Linked DNA regions of Stegostoma tigrinum. The protein of the gene in region 2 binds, or shares a complex with, the protein of the main gene of each other region. Links are inferred from orthologs where the notes say so. Each region holds a gene or a part of one and is shown on either strand. Other genes may lie near its edges.

Region 1 (11,104 bases), on a different chromosome or scaffold from region 2:
TGGAGGAGCAGCAGTCTGAAAGCACATGATTTCACATAAACCTGTTGGACTACAACTTGGTGTCGTGTGACTTATGACCTTGTCCTACAAATTAAGTTTTGTTTTGTAGGTCGTTAATAAATGGGGATATTTACAAAAATGTGACGCAGCTAGCTTGTAATTCCATATTTATTAAAAGTCATCAGCTGTACAGCTGTACTAACGTTTGCACATCTTTATATCCTAATGCATTGATTTTGGCAGATAGCATGCTAAGGATTTGGCACCAATTCTCTGCATTTTATTGCCTGTCATCAGTCAGAGCTGATTATAATTGAGAAGATTAAGCCCCATTGTTCTGAGCTTGTTGGGAATAGTGCTGTAGCTTTCTGTAACGTTGATGGGGGAATACTTACTCAACTGCTGGCTGTTGCTTGATAAAATAAACAGTTGCCCAAGTCATTGCTGGAAGATTTTGGTTTGAGTCGAAGTTGGGTGGGGTTTAGGTGTTTCTATTGAATCTAATGTTACTCACCAAGGGTTGTTCTTGTTAGTTCACCTTCACATCATCTATCATAAAGTGCATTCATGCTCAAGATGCAAAGTCAATAAGAGATTATGTTAAAACAGAAACAGAGGTCCACAGGAAATGATTGAGGGTGTGAACGTTTCTACAAAATGAATGTGTATTTTTGGTTGACAATGCAGTTTAATTTTGGTCATTTACTACAACAGCATGCCTAAAAAATGACAACAGTTGGAACTGTTGCTCAGGCAGGGCATCTTGTTTCCTCAAATCTGAACTTAATGTGACTTGAGGAAGGGAGAGTACCTTGCCTAGGATAGTGTCTTCTAGATCCAAAGACAAGTTTAGATATCCCACTTCAGATGAGACACAATTCTCATTAAAACAAACTGTTACGATGACAGCTACAGTACCTCCAAGTGCAAATATGTTCTTTGCATGCTCTGAATCAGTAAAACACCAAAGACTCTATTTAAAATAATCCTTTGTTGATGATGTTACCATTCAACAGTGTAACCCTTCCACTTGTACCAAAAGGAGTATAACAGTCCAGCTGTGCCAATAGATGGATTTCAGTAAACCATGACATTATGGCACCTAATTTGGAATATCAAGTGTTGATATTTCTTTTGTCCATGTTCAGGTTAGGCACCAAATGGGGAAGTCTGGGATTTCTGTCATCAACTCCCTCTTCTTTGAAAGCTATCTCTGGGATACATTTTTGCTTACATATGACTAAATGAGACAAAATTTGCCCATATACGTTCATGTGGCAGTAATGACATCTTTATGAAGCCACACTAGGAATTTGTTTTGTGTTGTAGTATTCTAAAACCTGATTAGATTCTTCAGAATCTAATTTAGTCCTTTCAACTCCTCTTCCAATGTAATTAGGAGAGGGAACAAAAACTTCAAGCAAAGCAACCAAACTGAAGGTAAACAAATCCCAGTTGGTCAGTTCAGCAGCATGACAACTCCATAATGTGAACTGTAAATTTCCCTGCCCCCAAAAGATTTCTGAAAGACTCCCTTGATCTCTCTACTGAATAATTGAAAACTATTTCCTTTGTGTAAATGAGGCAAGCTGTAAAATGTGCAAGTGATTAAAGGCTAAGGTGCAAACAAGCAGATGCTTACTTTCTGACTAAGAAATCAGAGACAGTATCCTTTCGACTGCGGCAACTTGCAATACTGATTTATGGGCAGAAAATGTCCAAATCCTTTTGGAAGAACACTAACACGTTTTAGAATCAAATTGTTTTGACTAATTCAAATACTTCCAGAGCAATGTAATAACAAAAGCACATGATTGTAGTTTATTTAAAGCATTAAAAGTTTTAAAGTCTATAAAATGTTCAACTTTACAAATGTTCAAATACAGCCTTCCGAAGTGAAAAAGGTACTGCCTCTTTTACAAATATGGTCACTTGAGAAGTCAACTCCAACTTACTCAAAGGTCTCATCAACCCTCAACAGCACAAAAACATATTCGTAGGGTCTTGTGACTCAGGGGTAGTATATCTACCTCTGAGCTAGAACACCCAGGTTCTTGTATCACCTATCCTAGACAAGCACCATAACATGTCTGAACAAGTTGATTCACTGAAAATATAACCAACATTTTTGTAGTTGAGATGATCAGAGGATTCGGCCTCTAAGCAGGAAGGATGAGGCGGCGTTGGAGTGAAGTGCTTGAGGTTGAGAATTCCACTGAACATGTCTGAACAGTCAAGTGAAGTGAGACTTGAGATGAGAAAATAACGTGCCCTGAGATTCAGGGTGTGTAGGCAGGTGGAGGCTGGAACTGGTTGACAATTTCATATTCCACTGGATACGGTTCGTTCTCTTCCATTTCTGATAGCAGTTCCAGTGCTTGTTCCTCTTCCTCAGTTGGGTAGTGTCGAAGGAGGTTAGCAGCCGTCGCCAAAATGGATGCTCCTCCAGCACCTGCCACTAAGTAAAAGCTAACTGCAAAGGTCACATAGACACGGGAACCATGATATTTTTTGTGTTGCTGCTGAAGTGCGAGGATTAATTCTGAGGCCCAGTAGCAGAATCCAATCACCGTGGCACACTGCAGAACTGCAAACAACAAACAAAGACAGTGAGTGGAGCAAGGATGGTGGGTGCCAGAACAAAATCTGAACAGAACTCATGGCTAATTCATCCTTATCCACCAGGCTTCAACACCATAAGGTTTGTTGCCAGGATTCCAAACAGAATTGGAAGGTTATGCAATGAGATGCTCCTCGAAGTACAGACAATTTAGTGAACCAATCAGCAGGAAACATGGGAAACAACTGGGGTCTAACTGGAAGCCTAGCAAACAAAGCCATCATTCTCACCGGGAAAAAGGAGGAAGGAAGACGCATGTGGGGTAGCATGAACTGGAGTAGGAAAGGGTAGTGATGTGTATCAACAGAGTTTGTACATGCAAAGAGAGTGCTCACAAGTGGTTGGAAGGGGACAAGAGATGGAGTAAGGACACTAGGGTAAGACTGCAATCTTGTCTCCGAGTGAACTGAGGTGTAAACAGGTAAACGTTCACAGCGAAGTGGGTACACGGAAATCATTTTCTCCTTTTTTCAACTTCATACCCACAAAGCGGGTTGCAACAGCACAAGCTTAAATGTAACCTGCTCCTGATGCCCACTTTTCTCCTAACTCCACTGAAGTCAGCTGGAAGCATGCAATACCAAGTCTGAGTATTTTGGTTGATATTTGTTTTAAATTCAACCAAGCCCAAGCTCAATCTCCACTCCCTATCCTGATTCTCACCCCAAAAGCTGAACATCTGATGTTTGACACATTTTTACAGCCATTTTAAGTTATTTATTTGCATTATTCTTTGTTCGCTTGGAGTTTTTCTCTGAAATTCATGTTTACTGCAGTGCCAAATCACCCCTTATGAAGAAAGGGAACAACCCTGCACCAAACAATGGCAGAACAATTATGATTAGTCAGTTCTGAATAATAAACACAGGCAAACAGCTCTTTCACATAATTCATGGGACATGGGCATTCTCTGCTTCAGCCTGCATTTATTGCCCATCCCTAATTACTTAGAGGACATTAAGAGCAATTCTTCAGAACGTTTGGATGAAGAGTCACGGGACTTGAAACAGGAACTCTACTTTCTCCCACAAGCGCTACTGGACGTGAATTTCACCAGCAATTTTCATTTTTGTTTCAGATCTACAGCATCAACAGTCATGTTTCATTTAGAAAGACGGAAAAAATATGTACTCAAAAGAAAAAAAACAATATGCTAATGAAGGGCCTCCTGCTCATGCACTTCAGCAGCAGAGCTGAAGGAGGAAGTCACCAAGTACTTATGCACTTCATATTAATGCCACAAATGCTGATTCACAAAGTAGAAACATCTTCCTTCTGAGGATGTAATCATTTCAAAAGCACCTTGCATAATGGTGGTTTAAGGGTTAAAAATAAAGCCAGATCAAGATATCACATTTACAAACATCTAGTTTCACTTGGACATACCTGTGAGAATATGAGCAAAGGCATATCTACGAGTAATCTTCAAAGCTGGATGTTTTGGTCCAAATACATCAAGGAGAAAAGCAGACAAACTGCAAATAATCCCCAGGAAACAGAAGGCACCAATGACCCGCAACAGGAGCACAGTCTGATGGTTCATACAGTAATCTGGAGACCAAAAGATTGAGTGTCAGGCCGTTTCACCAAATAATCAACAATCAAGCAAAATTCAAGATCATTGAAACTAAAATAAAACAGAAGGTTTTTTTAAAAACCATGACTGTAACTTTCCACTAACTTCAACTCATTGTTTAACATCAGAGGGAAGAAAATCTTCCTCCTTATGTCAAGATTCATGTTGCAAATGGATTTCTGTGGCAGCGTTCTGGAAAAGGGTCAATGGACCCCAAATGGTCACACTGATTTTGCTCCACAGATGTGGCCAGACCTGCTGGAATTTTCCAGCAATTTATTTCTTATCAGTTGGTACTTTGTTGGTCAGACTCTTGCCTCTGAGTCAGAGGTTATGGGCTCAAGTCCACTGTTGGACTCACAACAAAGATTCACATTTCACTGCTCAATTGAGGGAGTATTGTGTGGTTTGACATGCCCTCTAGACACAATGGAGCCTCTCTCAGGTGGACAACACATATTACAAAGCACCATTTCAAACGACAAGTAATAAATCGCTCGACTTCTGACCAGTATCTGGTATTAAAGTATCACGTAGTTCAATGGTTAACACTGCTGCCTCACAGCACCAGGAGCTCTGGTTCAATTCCACCCTCGGGTGAATCTGTATGGACTTTACATTCTAACCAGGTTTGCCTGGCTTTTTTCCAACTGCTCCAGTTTCCTTTCACAATCCAAAAGATATGCAAGTTATTTGGATCAGCCATGCTAAATTGCCCGTAGTGACCAAGGATGTGCAGGCTACACGGATTAGCCATGGGAAATACAGGCTTGCAGGGATAAAGTTGCGGGGTTTGGATGGGATGTTCTTCGGAGGAACTGTATTGACTCGAGGCACCAAATGGCCCCCTCCCCCACAGGGTTTCGGACGATCTGGTCACTGGGACCTTATTTGCTGCGCTGCCGGATTTGGGACACCTCGTCGTCGTGAAATGCGCGTTTTTCCCTCGGTATCGTGGACAAGTAACAAGTCCCAATTTATCCTTCGAGTGTGGTCAGGGAATCTGACACAGTTACAATCTTGAGAAACTAAAATGTCCAACATCGAGGCAGTGAAAGAGGAAATACGGAATGCATTCCGACGATACCGAGCCGAAGCGTCAGCACCGCCCTCTCCTCTCGGTCTCCACCTACGCTCACATATTACCTTCCCAGTTCATTACCTTCCAGCAGGGCCGAGTCCAGGCGTCCCAGGACATCCGCAACACCGAGCTCCTGCCGCGGGCACATACCCCCGTGCGCGCGCAGCCAGGCCGGTTCCGCCAGCGCCGTGCACAGCGCAGTCACCGAAAGCGCGCCCGGCACCGCCGACGCCAAACTCCGCTCCGTTTGCTTCGGTAGAGCACCCCCAGCTCCGGAACGCCGGCGTGATCCTGACAGACCGGCTCCCGCAGGTCCATACATTGTCCTTTCCGGCCTGGGCCGCCACAAGAGAACAACGAACCACCGAAACTCCGATATCAGTAACGGACGACGACGACGACGACAATAAACGATTCCAGCGCAGCCATCAGTTTCGCATCCGTTTTCGATCCGGATGTGACGTCTGAATTGTTGGGCCAGACTGCGCCTTGGTGATTGGTGATATCTGCGCTTGATGGACGGGGGTCTTAGCCAATAGAAACTGGATACGGGCAAGACCTCTAACCAATCCGGAGCAGGAGTGGGTGTGGCGACGGCGCTTCTGGTTCGGGGGAGGTCACACGCGCGCCTGGGATGAAGTGGCGGTTGACGCTCGAGTCCCGCTTCTTGGCGCATCCCGACTCCCGGGCCTGGTATGTGGCCTGGAGCCCGAGCGGTACGCTGCTGGCTTCGTGTGGAGGCGATCGGGCAGTGCGTATCTGGGCCAGAGAAGGTGCGGGCGGCTTCCCGATTGATCTGCCGGGGCGGGGGGTACGAGGCCTGGACAACCGCATTTCATTCTCCCGACTCTTGTTTTTCCACACCCCCCAGGGGCCTCCTGGCTGTGCAAGTGCCTCCTGGAAGATGGGCACCAGCGGACCGTGCGGAAGGTCTCTTGGTCGCCCTGCGGTACCTACCTGGCTTCGGTCAGCTTCGACGCCACCACCTGCATCTGGAGGAAGAAGGAGGCCGCATTTGAGGTAGTGCACTCTGAACTCCCGCGATGGCTTCATGGTTTTTGTTGCTGGACTCTTCATCCAGAGACCCAGATAATGTTCTGGGGAGAGATAGTGGGAACTGCCGATGCTGGAGAATCTGAGATAACGTGGTGTGAAGCTGAATGAACATAACAGGCCAAGTAGCATCAGAGAAGCAGGAAAGTTTGACATTTCAGGTCGAGACCCGACACGAAACGTCAAACTTTCTTGCTCCTCTGATAATGTTCTGGGGACCTGGGTTGGAATCCCACCATGGCGGATGGTCGAGTTTGAATTCAATGTCTGGAATCAAGAATCTAATGATCGTGAATCCATTGTCGATTGTCAGGAAAAACCCATCTGGTCCGCTAACGTCCTTGGGGGAAGGAAACTGCCATCCTTTCCTGGTCTGGCATACGTGTGACTCCAGACCCCAACAATGTGGTTGACTCTTAACTGCCCACTGGGCAATTAGGGATGGGCAATAAATGCAGTCAAGCTAGTGATGCCCTTACCCTGTTCATGAATTTAAAAAAATCACTTTATTGGGGAATAGGTGTTGAGGACAGAATCTTGTCATGAAGGATCATTCATTTAAGACAGAAACGGAGGAATTTCTTCTCCCCTGGGCTAGTGAATTTGTGAAATTCTTCACTGCAGACAACTGTCAAGATTGGGTTATTAAACGTATTTGAGAATGAGAGACAGATCTTTAGTCAGTAAGAGAAGGATGTTGCGAGTGTTGGAGTCTTTGAGCTATCAGGAGATGCTAAATAGGCCGGAGCTGTTTTCCCTGGAATGTCAGAGGTTGAGGGGTGACCTTATTTATAGAAGTTTGTAAAAGTATGGATAGGGTGAACAGCTAAGGTTTTTTTACCCAAGGTTGGTGAGTCCAAAACTAGGGGGCATACGTTAAACATCAGAGGGGAAAGATTTAAAAGACCTTGGGGCAACTTCTTCATGCACAGGGTGGTGCGTGTACAGATTGAACTGCCAAATGAACTGGTGGAAGCTGGGTCAGTCACAACATTTATAAGGTGCCTGGATGGGTATATGAATAGGAAGGGTTTTGAGGGATATGGGCCAAATGCTGGTAAATAGGATTAGATTAATTTGGACTATCTGGCTGAGTTGGACTGAATGGTCTGTTTCCATGCTGTACAGCTTTTATCAGTCTGCAAGACGCAGATGAGCAGAACACCCTGCCAAACCCACTGCTATCGTTGCGTTCTGAAACGGCTTTTGGAAATAATGTTTTCAAAATAATGCTGGCGACATTTCTGGCAGCAGTTTTATTTATAACTTGAGTCTTGTGTCAGCTTAAAACATGAGATAAAGTTGTTAGTTACATTGGGTCTTCTATGAACTGTTTGAATGGAATGGACTCGGTATAAGTTTGAGCGTTTGTTTCTCAGGCCTAGTGTTTGTTTTCATAGCTTTTGACAACACTGGAAGGACACGAGAATGAAGTGAAATCTGTCGCCTGGGCTCCATCTGGCAATCTCCTTGCAACTTGCAGCCGGGATAAAAGTGTATGGGTTTGGGAAGGTGAGAAGATATTTTGCATAGAATACCCTTTGAAAATGCCATTCTGTAAAAAGCACCCGAGACACCTGTCTTAAATGGTGGTAGAAGCAGAAACCGCTTAATATTTTAAACAGTTGGTGGAGATGCACTTGAAGTTCTGAATCTTAAAAGCAGACTCAGCTGGCACAAACATGCTGGGCTGGAAAGCCTCTTTTATACTTGAAATTTGCATAATTCAATGAGATATGTCTTGGCTGTTGAGCCTTAAAAGTCACCCACGATATTGATAATTTGTATAAAGGGTGTATTCTTTCATGGGCTGTCCCAACTTGTTAAGACTCAATGACTGTGATTGGTGAACTAGTAAGAATTGCAGGTTTCCATAGCCAAAAATCATCCATCAAATTAATACACACATTAATAGTATTATGGTCACTGTTGCTCAGATCTGTTTTCAGTTCCATATTTTGTTAACTGAATTTAAATTTGACTGGCTGTCCTGTTCTAAACCCACATTCTGCAGAACGTTGACCTTGGCCTGTCAATTCCGATTGTAATGATGTCAACCCTCTGCCATCAACTCCTTTAAAGATCATGTATTGTCTCAATGATAACGAAGCACAAGACATAAAAAAATGTAGATGGGAGAAAAACGTTACAAAGGCACAATAAACCTTGAGTGGATGCAAGAGTCAAATAGAATCAGATTTCACATAAAAACTGAAAAAGCTGCGGATGCTGTAAATCAGGAACAAAAACAGAAGATGCTGGAAAAGCTTAGCTGATCTGGCAGCGTCTGCGGGGAAAAAAAATTCAGAGTTAACATTTCAGGGCTAGTCACTGGCTAAACCAAGACATAACTTCCATCCAGAGCACTGTTTAAACATGTAACTTCCCTTTTGCCCCAAAAGGTGTGGCCATTGCAAAACTTGATTTATGATGAGATTGAGTCTGAGATACTGAAGAATAATGTTCCAACTGCATTAACAGTTTCAGAAACTAATCAGGTGATGCAATAGACTCCAGGACCAGTTCCTTGTCCTGTTTCATCATGCAGATGTTATGACTTGTTTATTACTGATGGGGAAATTAACAGAAATGCTGTGTATGGTTTTATAAACCTGTTATAGGCCTGTCACAGACTCTCAGCTGTCTGAAATTGGTAGTGTACTGTGTTGAAGGATTACAGCTCAGTCCACGGAGTAAGGACTCTATATCAAAAACTATTGATGACATTCTTATTTGCCTTTTAGTGGATGAAGATGATGATTATGAGTGTGTAAGTGTACTGAATGCTCATACCCAGGATGTCAAACATGTAATTTGGCACCCAAATGGAGAGGTAAGAGTTCACAAGAACGACATCGTTGACATTTCCAACTGCTGTACTTAGTTATTTGCAATGTCCGTGTTTTCTGATTTAGATTGGATATGTTGTCTTATGAGCAAGATACTGACGTACCTTTTCAAAGACTTGACATAATAAGGACTGCACAAGTAATTGTGGATGTGTATTTTGAATTCAACACTAGCTCCTGGCTTCTGGAAGCTATGATAACAGCATTAAGCTGTATAAGGAGGAAGATGATGACTGGGTCTGTGTTAACACTCTTGAAGGTCATGAGTCTACAGTTTGGAGCATCGCATTTGATAAAACAGGAGAGCATTTGGTATCTTGCAGTGATGACAAAACTGTTAAAGTCTGGAAAGCATACAGGCCTGGAAATGAACAAGGTAGAGTAACTGAACTGAGCATGATGTTATAATTATCATATCATCTTGTGAAATGTTTAAATTTAAAACTCATGACACTTACCCTCAGAGAGAGGTGCAACTGCAGGGTGGAGTGCGTTATCTACCCCCTTCAACTTGATTTTGATTTAATCCCTTCCATGGCACCCAACCCCCTCCCTCACCTTTTGGTCACATTACACTGTTGTTTTTGGGCTTTGTCAGTAATCTGATTAATTGAGAAGATGGGTGATGAGTGGTGAGTAAAAGAAGCAATCAGTTGTGTGTAATAACACTTCAGCGTGGAAAGAACCTGACACCGGATACTCCATTGGACACCCAAATCCCCTGAGCTTCCAGACCCCGCTGTAGCTGTGACAAAGTATTCCACTACTGTTTGTGTGGATTCCCGTGCTGGGCTCTGCTGGTTCAACTGCCAGGGCTCCTGACCCACGAATTTTCATCACCATCACCTCGAGTCGTATTAGAGACTTGTTCTCTAATCTTGATTGGAAGTGAGGCTTGTAACTTGGAATACAGTTAGAAGAGAAGATTTCAGTCCATCCCGTTCTGTCTCAGGTTATTGGGTCACAGAAGAGGTGGCTTTTGAGTTAATATTTCAAGAGGCCAATTAAAAATGATTCCTCTTTAAAGGTTTTTGTATTGTTGACAAAACAGTGTTGCATATTTTACAAATGTCCTTCCAACCTGAAACATTGCAACGTTTTGATTGTGCAGTGGGAATCAGTCTCACGTGGACTTGCTAATTCATTATCTTTTTGGTGCAGGCGTGATATGCAGTGGATCAGATCCTTCTTGGAAATGTATCTGCACTCTATCTGGCTTCCACAGTCGCCCTATCTATGACATTTCTTGGTGAGTTCAAAGACATAATTCCATCAGTAACCTTTTCAAATGGCAAATTCCCCATTTCAAATGCTTTTATGACTGTCACACCAACACCACCCTCATTCTAACTGGTGAGAAGAAACAGGATAGTTGCGAGACACTGGGCTCAATGCCTCTTTTTGATCTCATGTGGAGCCATCCATTGAAGAATTCACTTTTCAGCCAGTTTCTCCAAATTTATTTATCCAGTTTTAAATTTAATCTGTTGCTTCTGTATGCTGACTTGGTGCATTTAAGAAAACATTTTCTCTTTCTGGCTTTTCACCAAGCAACCTACATCTATGTTTACTTGATTACTAAGCACTGTGATACAAAACCGTTGATCTTGAACATCTTCATCAAGTCTTAGCACAATAACTGCTGAGCAACCTGTTCACATTGCCTCTTTCTTTCAGGTGTCACATGACGGATGCAATAGCAACTGCATGCGGTGATGATGCAATCCGGATATTTGAGAAGGACCCTGATTCGGACCTCCACCAACCCACCTTTTCACTCACGGCTCACATTCCAAAGGCACACACAGAGGATGTCAACTGTGTGGCTTGGAACCCCAAGCAGCCAGGGTTGTTGGCATCCTGCAGTGACGATGGGGACATTGCTATCTGGGTGTACAAGTTCGAAGATTAGTGCAAGCATGCAT
Region 2 (10,532 bases):
CGATAGAATTCACTACTTCCAAAATGAAAGCTTCAGAGCAATTCATTGAATTAGAAACGATTGACTAACATTTAAAGCCTTACTCAAGCATCAGCGGAGGCACAAAAAGACAGGATTCAGAGACAACAGAATGACTGACATTGTTATTTTACATCTCAAGTTTATAATTAACCTTCAAATGGAAACCTCTGTTCAACAACCATTTTCTAATTTTGAGACAAAGAAAAGGGCAAGCCAATCAGAATTTCGTATTCTGTAATGAATATTAGATGATGTTTTAAATTAACATGTGCTCTGCCAGTTGATGCATAGTACTGTACTTAAAGCTCAAATAGTGCAGAGCCTTCGTGTTCCCTTCCCCACACCATTATAACATGAATGAATCAAGCACTGGTGTGGTGCCCTGTTTCAGAAGAATTGCTTCACAACATCCCCTTGGAACGAATAGTCACTAGTCGGCACAACATCGTGGGCTGAAGGGCCTGTTCTGTGCTGTACTGTTCCACTTGTTAACACATCCTTTTTGGGTTTTTATGCATTAAGCATGGAATGCGTTGCCAGCAGCAGTTGTGGAAGCAAGGTCGTTGGGGTCATTTAAGAGACTGCTGGACATGCATATGGTCACAGAAATTTGAGGGTGCATACATGAGGATCAATGGTCGGCACAACATTGTGGGCTGAAGGGCCTGTTCTGTGCTGTACTGTTCTATGTTCTATGTTCTATGTTCTAACTAACTGAACATTGTTATGTCTAGTATAGATCATGAAAATTTTGATAAATTTACCATAGGCCCATGTTTCACATAAACTAAGCACCAGATTGACCTGCTCTATTGGGTAGCGACATTTGCAAAACTGAATTAACAGATTTGGTTAACAGTTATAGAATCAAAATCAATTTACAACAGAAGTTTTTTTCTGAGGTACAAAGTAGTCCTAAAAATTGGTGCTGTTCCCATTCATCCTACGGATAAACTACCAAACCATGACCGTTTACTGTTCCCAATCTGATCCAATACCAAAAAGATAGCTAGAAACAAACCAGATATGCTTCCATAGCTTCACCAAAAGCGATTCAGTTGAGTGTACAGTCCTAGACAGCCAAAAGACTAATTTATTGTTGATTTTCCATTCATGGAGTAGACAGCATATTAACGTAGATAAAATAAAAATAAACTTTTTCAAGACACTGCACACAAAAAAAACATTTCAAAAGCAGGTTTTAAATGTTTATTGCAAAGAAAAGAAGCAAAGTAGGGATTTGAAAGAATGGCATTTGGCAGAGTGAGATCACAGAATTAAAGACATTTACAGCATAGGAGATTATTGATTCAAAAAGATTGGACTGGCACATTGTTTGGGCCAGCATGCAAGCATAACAGCATTTGCTAAAAATTGGGTGAAATCTGGATACACAGACACATTTGTCATATCTAGTTTTATAAGAAGGAAAAGAGATGAATCAGTTAATAATGAAGGGCTGAAAGCTCTTTTTGCATTAGTCTTAACAGCCTGGGATAAGAAGCCTTTTCTTTCGTTTATTTCAAAGCTAGACTGTACAATTACAGTATCATCTATAATTAATGAAGCCAGTCACTAACATATCATTCACGATTATCTCCCCATGAACATAGTTGAATGCCTCCAGTGTGTATAAATGTGTATCATAACACTGCAAACTTCATACTTCTATACAAAGGAACCCAGTGAACTGCAGTTGTTGGAAATCAAGTTGCCGGGTTCTGATGAAGGGTCACTGGACCTGAAAATGTTAATTAGGCTCTCTCTACACAAACGCTGCCAGATGATTGCTGGAAAAACTCAATCATATTTTTATACTTCATTCCACTATACAAAAGAAATATCTCCTGTCAGACACGAACAGTGGTACAAATGCAACAAACTACAACGGTCGCTAAGAGATTTACGTACAAATTAAGCTTCCACACAATCTGTCATGGTGCTTACTGTTAGACTGTATCCTAATGTGCAAACTTTCAGAGTTAATTGCAAAACTAGGGTTGATCTGTTAGACCACATGGAGCTCTTGGTTCATCACTTTGGTGCAAATCACCCACCACAATCTTATACCAGACCGCTAGATTGGGAAATAATCCCCAATACGGTTGCTTTTGTCATGCAATATAGAAAGCAATATGTTCTGCTTCCTTACTGCAATCATTTTAAATTATTGTAGAAACATAAGATAAATAAGCATTGCAAAAACTGGAAAGAATATGCTAATATGTAAATGTTACAAATAAAGTTCGTAGAAGACATAATTATGAAAAAGCTCAATTAACAATTTGCAAAGGTATTCAACTTCAACTAGTACTAAATTTGAAGATATAAATCTGCACACAACTTCATTAGTCTTCAAAAGAAAATTGGAAATACATTAAGGATACTAAGTACTGGGCTATGGGAAAGAAAGACAATGTTTTTTTTTGCTATCATTCACTCAGTCAGCTCAGAGACCTCATTCAGTGTTGTTATTGTGACTATAGTCATGTATGTTGGAAATCATAGAACAACGCACAGAAAAATCACTGTCTGCTCTCTCCATGCAAACTCTTCACCAGAGTTAATTACCTCAACCCCCTCCCCTGCTTTTTCCTGAACCCGGCAATTATTTCCCTTTTCAGGCACTAATTACATTTGTGAACCCTAGACAAAGATAAACCGGTTGAATTTTCTGCAGAACATTGCCACTTCACTTATTATATGGAAATTCCTGCCAGGAACTGTTTTGGATAAATATTTTAGTTGACTATTCATCTGAAGCAGCTACAGGTAAATTAAGTGGGGTGTGTCCCTATAGACTTGTCCTCCATTGCAGGATGACGAAAACAGCTTGTGAAATAACTTAGTTACGAATACAGCTTATGAAATACCTGCGTGAATCACAAGCTCCTAACATTCACTTTACTAAATCTGATCATCTTATCTCAGACCCCCAAACTGTAGATCAATGAAAAACTGGGCAAAGTTCTGCTGGGATAGGAGAAGCAGAATGAGGTATTGATACCGGAGGTCTGTTCGCTAATGCCAGTCTACTCAAATCTGACCTTAAGTGTAGGTTAACATGAATATCAGCCACCCAGGTGGGCAAAACAAATAATTTTTCTGGTCGGTAAAGCAATCAACTTTGTTTTGAAAACAGTTAAATAAATTTCTTATGCAAATAAGATTGACATGAAAAATTAATTCCATAAAAAGAAAACACATTCCAGCTACAAAGTAAAATTTTAACCCTTACTATCAACATTACTGAAAATGCTTATTTATCCAAAAATGGCTTTTATTGAATTTGACTATTTCAGGGATAACCAGACTTGCTGGCAGTCACTCAAGCTGTGTGTCTAAGAATCGACCAGATATACAGCAGGTCTGCTGCTATCACAAGCAGCATTCAATCTCCCTGCCCACCTGGGTATAAAACTGGCATCCAGGAAGCAAAAACAGACCTTTGGAGACAAAGCTTTTACATGGGGCAGAATACAGAGGTCAGAGATGAGAGTGGGAAAGAAAGAGCTAGAACAAGTAATTTCACTGATACATATCCAAGGTAAGTTCACCTAAACTGAATGGCTACATTAAAACATCGAGCTTTTATCCTGAAAAAATGATAAATGTCTGAGTATCAGTATCAACACAGGCATAAATCTAACATTAGTAGATAGATGGGCCTTGCCATGTAGCAATGGAAGAAATATAAATAAGGAAGTAGCTTCCAAAAGCAGCGCGTGAACAGACTTCTCATTAATTTAGTGAACTACAATTTGGATGGCGATTCTACTAACACAACACTGACACGATGGAAAATATATTGCATTGCTGGAACTAAAATTATGACCAAAAGTGAAAAAAAGTCCTACGCCATTAGCCCCCTGCTGAGCACGCCCAATCGGAAACACTGGGCGCTATCATAATTTTACACTCTTCTGCTGCCTTACCTGTTTTTCTCCCATTGCCACTCCGTCTCCCTAAGCGATGATGTTGCTGCTGTTGTTGTTGCCGGCGTTGGGTCCCCACGCAGCCTCCCATCAATGATGCCCTTGACCCAGGTGCGTCTCACCCACTAACCGCAAACCCACCTGAAGTCTGGGAGAAACTCGCAGCAAGTCCCCTGGAGCTCATGAATTCATTTTCTTAAAGACTCGCCGTCTATCCCCTCCCAAAAAACGCACACAAAAGAAATCCCACGGTCCACCTTTAAGACCCACCAGTCCGTGCAAAGTTTGGATCCAAGATAATCCCTAACCCACCCCAAAACCCCAGTGCAAACACAGAACTACCCCTCCTCTCTCTCCCAAACCAAGTAACAGCCCGTAACCGGGGCAACCAGTCGGCCCTCACCTACTTTACCTGCTACTGCAAAACTACACCAACATCTCTCATCGCTTCACCAACCTTCCCATCTCAGCCAATAAGGCAGGCTCTCTCGCGCTTTCTCTCCCTCAATGTCACAAAGCAAAAGTTGGTCTAATCTGTGAACATACAATTCTGTCTAGCTTCACTCCATATCTTTCGGAAGCTGAACCAGCAGTGACACTCCACTACCAGCCTTTCCCCACCTGAGCGACGTTACTATCAATGTACACCCACCGGCCCAAAGCGCCTGCGCCGTTGCCTTACCCCGCCCGGTGCACGCTGGGTAACGCTGGCCTCCCACACCTGACGCGCGGCCCACCGCGCACGCGCACGGGCACCTGCCACGCCCCCCCCATCGGCGTACTCTTCCTTAGCAACCGGATGCCAGCCGTTACTAAGGCGACCCCCTGAAACTAGAAATGGGGGAAACTTTACTCTGTGCCATATAATAAGGACCATGGGGTAATCTGGGTAACATCAATTGTTGACTAATTCAGAGCTCCAGTCTAAAATCTTGAGTTCGAGTTTAAAAGATTAAAGCAATTTTGAAAGAATTAAATTTGATCAGGGGTCGCAAGAACTGCAGATGCTGGAGTCAGAGACAATACAGTATGGAGCTGGAGGAACAGATTTCTGATGAAGGGTCTAGGCCCGAAGCGTCAGCTTTTGTGCTCCCAAGATGCTGCTTGGCCTGCTGTGTTCATCCAGCTCCACACTTTGTTATCTTGGATTCTCCAGCATCTGCAGTTCCTATCATCTCAGGAAGAAGATTAGGCTAGTCAACTTCTCAAACCTGCTCTACTATACAATTATATGACAGTTTACCTTATTGTAATCTCAAATCCACATTCCCACCAACCCCAATAACTTTTCATTCCCTTGCTTAAAAAGTACTTGTCAAGGTATTTCTTAAAAATATTCAAAGACGGCATTTTCAGGAACAAAGTTCCATTGTTGCTATACAAATTCAAATAATCATCTCTTTAATTTATTTTTTAAAAATGACGATTTGATCAAATTTACAGACAATACAGTATGGAGCTGGAGGAACACAGGAGGTCAAGCAACATTAGAGGGGCAGGAAACTTTCTGATGAAGGATCTAGGCCCAAAATGTCAGCTTTCCTAAGATGCTGCTTGGCCTGCTGTGTTCATGCAGCTCTATACTTTGTTATCTCTACTCTTCTTCCTGATTTGTACATCATGTGCAGGGTTACATTGTGAAGGCAGAAGGGGAATCGGTTAAATTAAATACACATAGGAACTGCTGGAGAACCCCAGAAGGTTTGACAGCATCAGTGGAGACAGAAACATGGCTAATATTTTAAATACAGTGACTCTTTAAGGAACTAAAGAAGGAAGGAGTGGGTTTTATTCTGTTGCTGGGGTTGGGTTGGTGGGTTAAGGCAACCACAGGGGCAGGTCAGGGAAAGGTTAAGAAGATTTGAGACCAAAATTAGTATGGAACAAAATGCAAAATTTTTATTAATAGGCCAAATGGCCTCCTTTATCCTTTCATGGGATGTTGAGCATCACTGGTATTGCCTTTTTAAGAAGAAAACTGACAGTTCACCACATCATTGTGGCTCACATTTAGGTCAAATCAGGTAAGGATAACACATTTCCTTCTCTTTTGGATAACCCTTGTAGCAATATTTCCATTACACCACCACCTCCCTCTTCTGCATTGTAATTATTCTGTGATTTGAGTATTGTTGAAAAAAAAATCAACTTTGACAAAAGAAGAATTTTTATACTACTTCATGTCTGCTTTTTCAACAATACTGAAGCTTTGGACAGCCAAATAACTGCGTGAGTCCGTTAAAAATGTTTTATCTTCTACATTGAATTCAGTCTCTGTTCCCTTTGACTAACAGAATTAAAATCAAAGCTGTCAAGTGAAGGAGTTTCTCTGTGTAGTCTGCAGAGTAATGAGCATGTGATCTGTGCCATTTGCGGTCACGTGACATCCAGCTCGTGGCGCATGCGCGGTTGAGTGCAGCAGCATGGCCGCCGACATGAGGCTGTTAGGGCTGGTGGAGGAGTTTGTGAGTGGGTTGCAGGACGGGGCTGCCAAGGACCTAGCTACAGGTAGGAATGGAAGTGAATGGTGCTGTGTACAGCTATTGTTGTCTGGGAGGACGAGCTGCTGATGGAGGGGTCCCGGGCGAGGAAGTGGCGCCGCCCGTCTGGCCGTGTCACCCTGGTAACGGCGCACGGACCCCAGTTTCCTGACTGGAATCTGTATCTCTTCTGCGCTCGACAGCCCTCACGTAGGCCTCCCCTAGCTTTTCAGGAATCTGTTCAAGTAATAAGCTGAGTATTGAGCAATTCCCTAGGCAAAAAAATTTCAGTTTAAGGTTTGTCTGAAAAATGGCCAGTGTAATGTTTCAGCACTGCCAGAGTTTCTCGAGTTGACCATCAATTTTGGGAGGTTGGCATCTCTGAGCTAATGTTGAAGCCTAGAGATCTAAACTTTATATAGGATATAAAACTGTCTGACTCTTCTTTTGATCTTAACTCCAATTTAGTGTTTATTTACATGTAAGAACATTAAAAAATGCACGTGACCATACAAACCTTTGAGCCTTCACCACCATTCAGTAAGACTTTCTACCCTAACTCCATCCAACAGTACACCCCCCCGCCATGTTTATCTTTATTTTTTTTAGTATCCAAAAATCAATATTTCTCTGTTTTCAATAAAGCCAATTCTTAGAGCATCTTCTAATTTCTGAAATGGCCTACCCTTTATTCTGATAACAGTGATTCCCTTGGGGGAAACATCCTCCCAGAATATACCCTGTAAAACTCTTCAAGAACTTCAGGGTTCCAATAAGATTTTTCATTTTTTTAAACCCCAAAAAACATGGGCCAAGTTTACTGTATCTCTCCTCTTTGGACATTTTCCTCACTCCAGAAATCACATTTAATAAATCTTTGTTGCACTCCCTTGAATACAGATATATCTTTCGTTGAATAAGGAGACAGAATTGCCCTCACTGGTAACCTAGTGACAGTAATTTTGGGTTTTTAATATCTAAATGGATTGAGGCTCTCTTCTCTAAGTTTTTTTTGATTGTGATAAAGCAATGTCCTGATCCCATATTTCAGGCTGCATCTAAGTATGCAAGCTGATTCTTTCAAAGCCAGGTGGATAAAATTAGTTTTACTGAAATTCTGTTTTCTACATTTGACCCCATGATCCTTCCAGAATGTGTTCTTCTATGTTCCTTTGGACTCAGTACTGCAGTCCTTAATGCAGAATGGCCATGTTTAGAACCAGATTCTGAGGAACTGTTAATTTAGGGGAGCAAACTTTATTGGGAAAACAGAGAAAATTGGAGAGGAAAATAAACATTTGTCACTTTGAATGAGAAGCATTTAACAATTTTATAACCGTTCTTGCAATTTAGCTAGAAATACTAAAAATGGCATTTTTAAAATTTGTCTATTGGTAGTGAATTCATTTATTTGTTTTCGCTGACTTTCCCCATTATTCTCATTGAAAAAAAAAGCTATTATGTCAGATGGGTTATCGGTTTCAAAGTGTCAAATTACCTTTCATTAAAATTGATTGCAGGAACTTGATGCTTCTGGATCCAGCAAAACAGTCAATGATAGATAAGACCTTTGAATTCCAAATAATGGCATGCTTTACTGGAATTTCACAGATAGCAGTAATGTGGTATTGATTTGAAAATTATTGATTCACTTAACTTTCCTTGTGGCTGGGAGTTTAGGGCTCTTAAACACCGCATCCACCAGTGATTTCTGCCTTGGGGCAGCAATCTATTCTTAATGTTGCACTGATGTATGTTGCACTTCTTAAAAATGTGGATGTTATGAAATCTCAATTAAATAATAACGTTTGCGATTAGTAATATATACAGGATGGAGAAACTTAGATTACAAATTGGAAAAAAAACTTTCCCTTGTCACAGTCATCGTCATACCACACAGAAACAGACCATTCAGCCCAACCAGTCCATGCTGACCCTAGTCCCACCCGCTTGCGATTAGTCCATATCCGTCTTATTCATGGACTTATCTAAATGTCCTTTAAATATTGTAATTTTACCTACATCCATGAATTTCTCTGGCAGTTCATTCCAAACAAGAATAGCTCTCGGTGCCAAAAATGTTGCCCCTCTTTTTTTCTTAAACAATCTTTCTCCTCTCAGCAAAAGATATCCCCCCCCACTCCTTGTCTTGAAATCCCCCATCTCAAGGGAAAGACACCTACCATCACCTTTATGATTTTATAAGCTCCGATAAGGTCAACCCTCAACCACCTATGCTCCAGTAGAAACAGGGGTCCCAGCTTCTCCTTATAACTCACATGCTCCATTCCTGCTGAACTTTTTCTGACCTCTCTCTGGCTTAATAATATCCTTCCTATGACAAGGCAACCTGGACTGGACGCAGCACTCCAGAAGATGCCTCGCTTAACGCTCCCTCGTTATTTTGCCAGATCAAAAAAGTTTTGACAATGTAATTTTGCTTTTTTGTGAGCATTTCTTCTGTTGTTTGACTCTTGGCAGTGCTCCTACAAGAAGTTTGGAAGAAGAGTTATATTCAACTCAAAGTATTAGCTCCGTTCCATATTCCACAAATGCTGCCTGACCTGATTATTTTATATATTTGTTTTTTATTTCAAATTTATACCATTTGTAACAATATAGAATCCCTAGAGTGTGGGAACAGGCCATTCAGCTCAATGAGTCCACACCAACTCAGAAAGGAGCATTCCACCCAGATTCACCCCTCATCCCTGCACCCCCATCACCAATCCACCTAATTTAGCCACCCCTGGACACTATGGGTAATTTCGTATGGCCAATTCACCTGACCTGGACATCTCTAGACTGTGGGAGGAAACCCATGCAGACATGGAGTGTGCAAACTCCACACAGAGTTCCTCGGGGCTGGAATTAAACATGGGTCCCTGGTGCTGTGAAGCAGCAGTGCCAACCACTGAGCCACCCTGCCACCCTATTTCTGCAAGTCTTGTCTTTTCAAACTATAGTTCCAGGTTTACATACTGTTTTGCTAGCCCTCAATGTTAGTCACCACCTCCGTCCTTACTTAACTCTGGTATTGAGGTTAATTGCTGCATCTTTACAGTTGAGCTTGGTTCTGTGAATGTTATTGATTGACTGGCACAGTGAACAAAGCTGCTGTTCTTGAAAAAGTCTGTGGAATCTTTGATATTTGTCGCAACTGAGAGTTACGTGTTGATTGCATTGTGCACTCCGCTTCTAAGAGTACAACATTCATAGGAATATTTTGTTTGAAAACCTTTGAATTCGGAAGATATCTTTTCTACTTATTTGCAATCACAGATATATTCAGGAACAACAACAGATTTGATAAACACTTTTTGGTAGCTTTTACCCTGAGGAGGAACTTATTTGCGAGTTTGGGCTGATATGACTAAGCAGTGTTTTTCTTAGAAAGAAGCACACTTCCATTTCTAAAGAGACATAGAAACACAGAAAATAGGAGCAGGACTAGGTCTTTTGGCCCTTCAAGACTGATCCATCATTCAATACGAACATGCTGATCATCCCACTCAGGATCCTCCCTAACCCATGGATCATTTTCGCTGTAAGAAATATATCTAACTCTCCTTTAAAGCATTCAATGTTTATGCTTCCAGAACTTTCTGCAATTGTGAATTCCACAGGCTCATCACTCTCAAGTTTGAAGAAATTTCTCCACTTCTCAACTCTTAATGACCTACCATGTATTCTTGGACTGGGGCCCTTGGTTCTGGACTCCCAGGTCATTGGATATCTCTTCCTTTGGTTTGCCCTGTCTAGTCCTGTTAGAATTTTAAAGGTTTCTTTGCCCCGCCCCCCCTGCCCCGCCCCCAACTCTGGTGGATATAGTCCTGTCCTAACCTAACCAATCCAATCTCTCTTCATATGTCAGTTCTGCCATCCCAGGAATTAGTTTGTTAAACTTCTGTTGCACTCCTTCCACTGTCAGAATATCCTTCCTCTGATGAATATGCCAGAACAGCACAGAATGCTGCAGGTGTGGTCTCACCAAGGGCTGGTACAATTGCAGCAAGAAAGAGATCCCTGCTCCTGTGCTTGAATTCTTTCGCTATGAAGGCCAACATATCATATGTATTCTTTAATGTCTGTTGCA

Evidence for each region.
Region 1: mms19 (region 2) and ciao1 share a complex: the UniProt entries of both Homo sapiens proteins name them as parts of the MMXD complex. The link is inferred for Stegostoma tigrinum from reciprocal best matches to the Homo sapiens genes MMS19 and CIAO1.

What each region holds. Positions count from the first base shown.
Region 1 is NC_081393.1:10,326,421-10,337,524, reverse strand, and holds the start of ciao1 (probable cytosolic iron-sulfur protein assembly protein ciao1), read left to right. Parts: upstream 1-5,857; 5' UTR 5,858-5,911; coding exon 5,912-6,050; intron 6,051-6,148; coding exon 6,149-6,297; intron 6,298-7,730; coding exon 7,731-7,842; intron 7,843-9,074; coding exon 9,075-9,163; intron 9,164-9,353; coding exon 9,354-9,555; intron 9,556-10,340; coding exon 10,341-10,428; intron 10,429-10,856; coding exon 10,857-11,091; 3' UTR 11,092-11,104. Other genes in the region: tmem127 (transmembrane protein 127), read right to left, coding at 2,280-2,587, 4,007-4,171, 5,359-5,599. UniProt on the Homo sapiens protein: Key component of the cytosolic iron-sulfur protein assembly (CIA) complex, a multiprotein complex that mediates the incorporation of iron-sulfur cluster into extramitochondrial Fe/S proteins.
Region 2 is NC_081373.1:12,313,773-12,324,304, forward strand, and holds the start of mms19 (MMS19 nucleotide excision repair protein homolog), read left to right. Parts: upstream 1-6,360; 5' UTR 6,361-6,379; coding exon 6,380-6,464; intron 6,465-10,532. Other genes in the region: ubtd1b (ubiquitin domain-containing protein 1), read right to left, coding at 3,957-4,047. UniProt on the Homo sapiens protein: Key component of the cytosolic iron-sulfur protein assembly (CIA) complex, a multiprotein complex that mediates the incorporation of iron-sulfur cluster into apoproteins specifically involved in DNA metabolism and genomic integrity.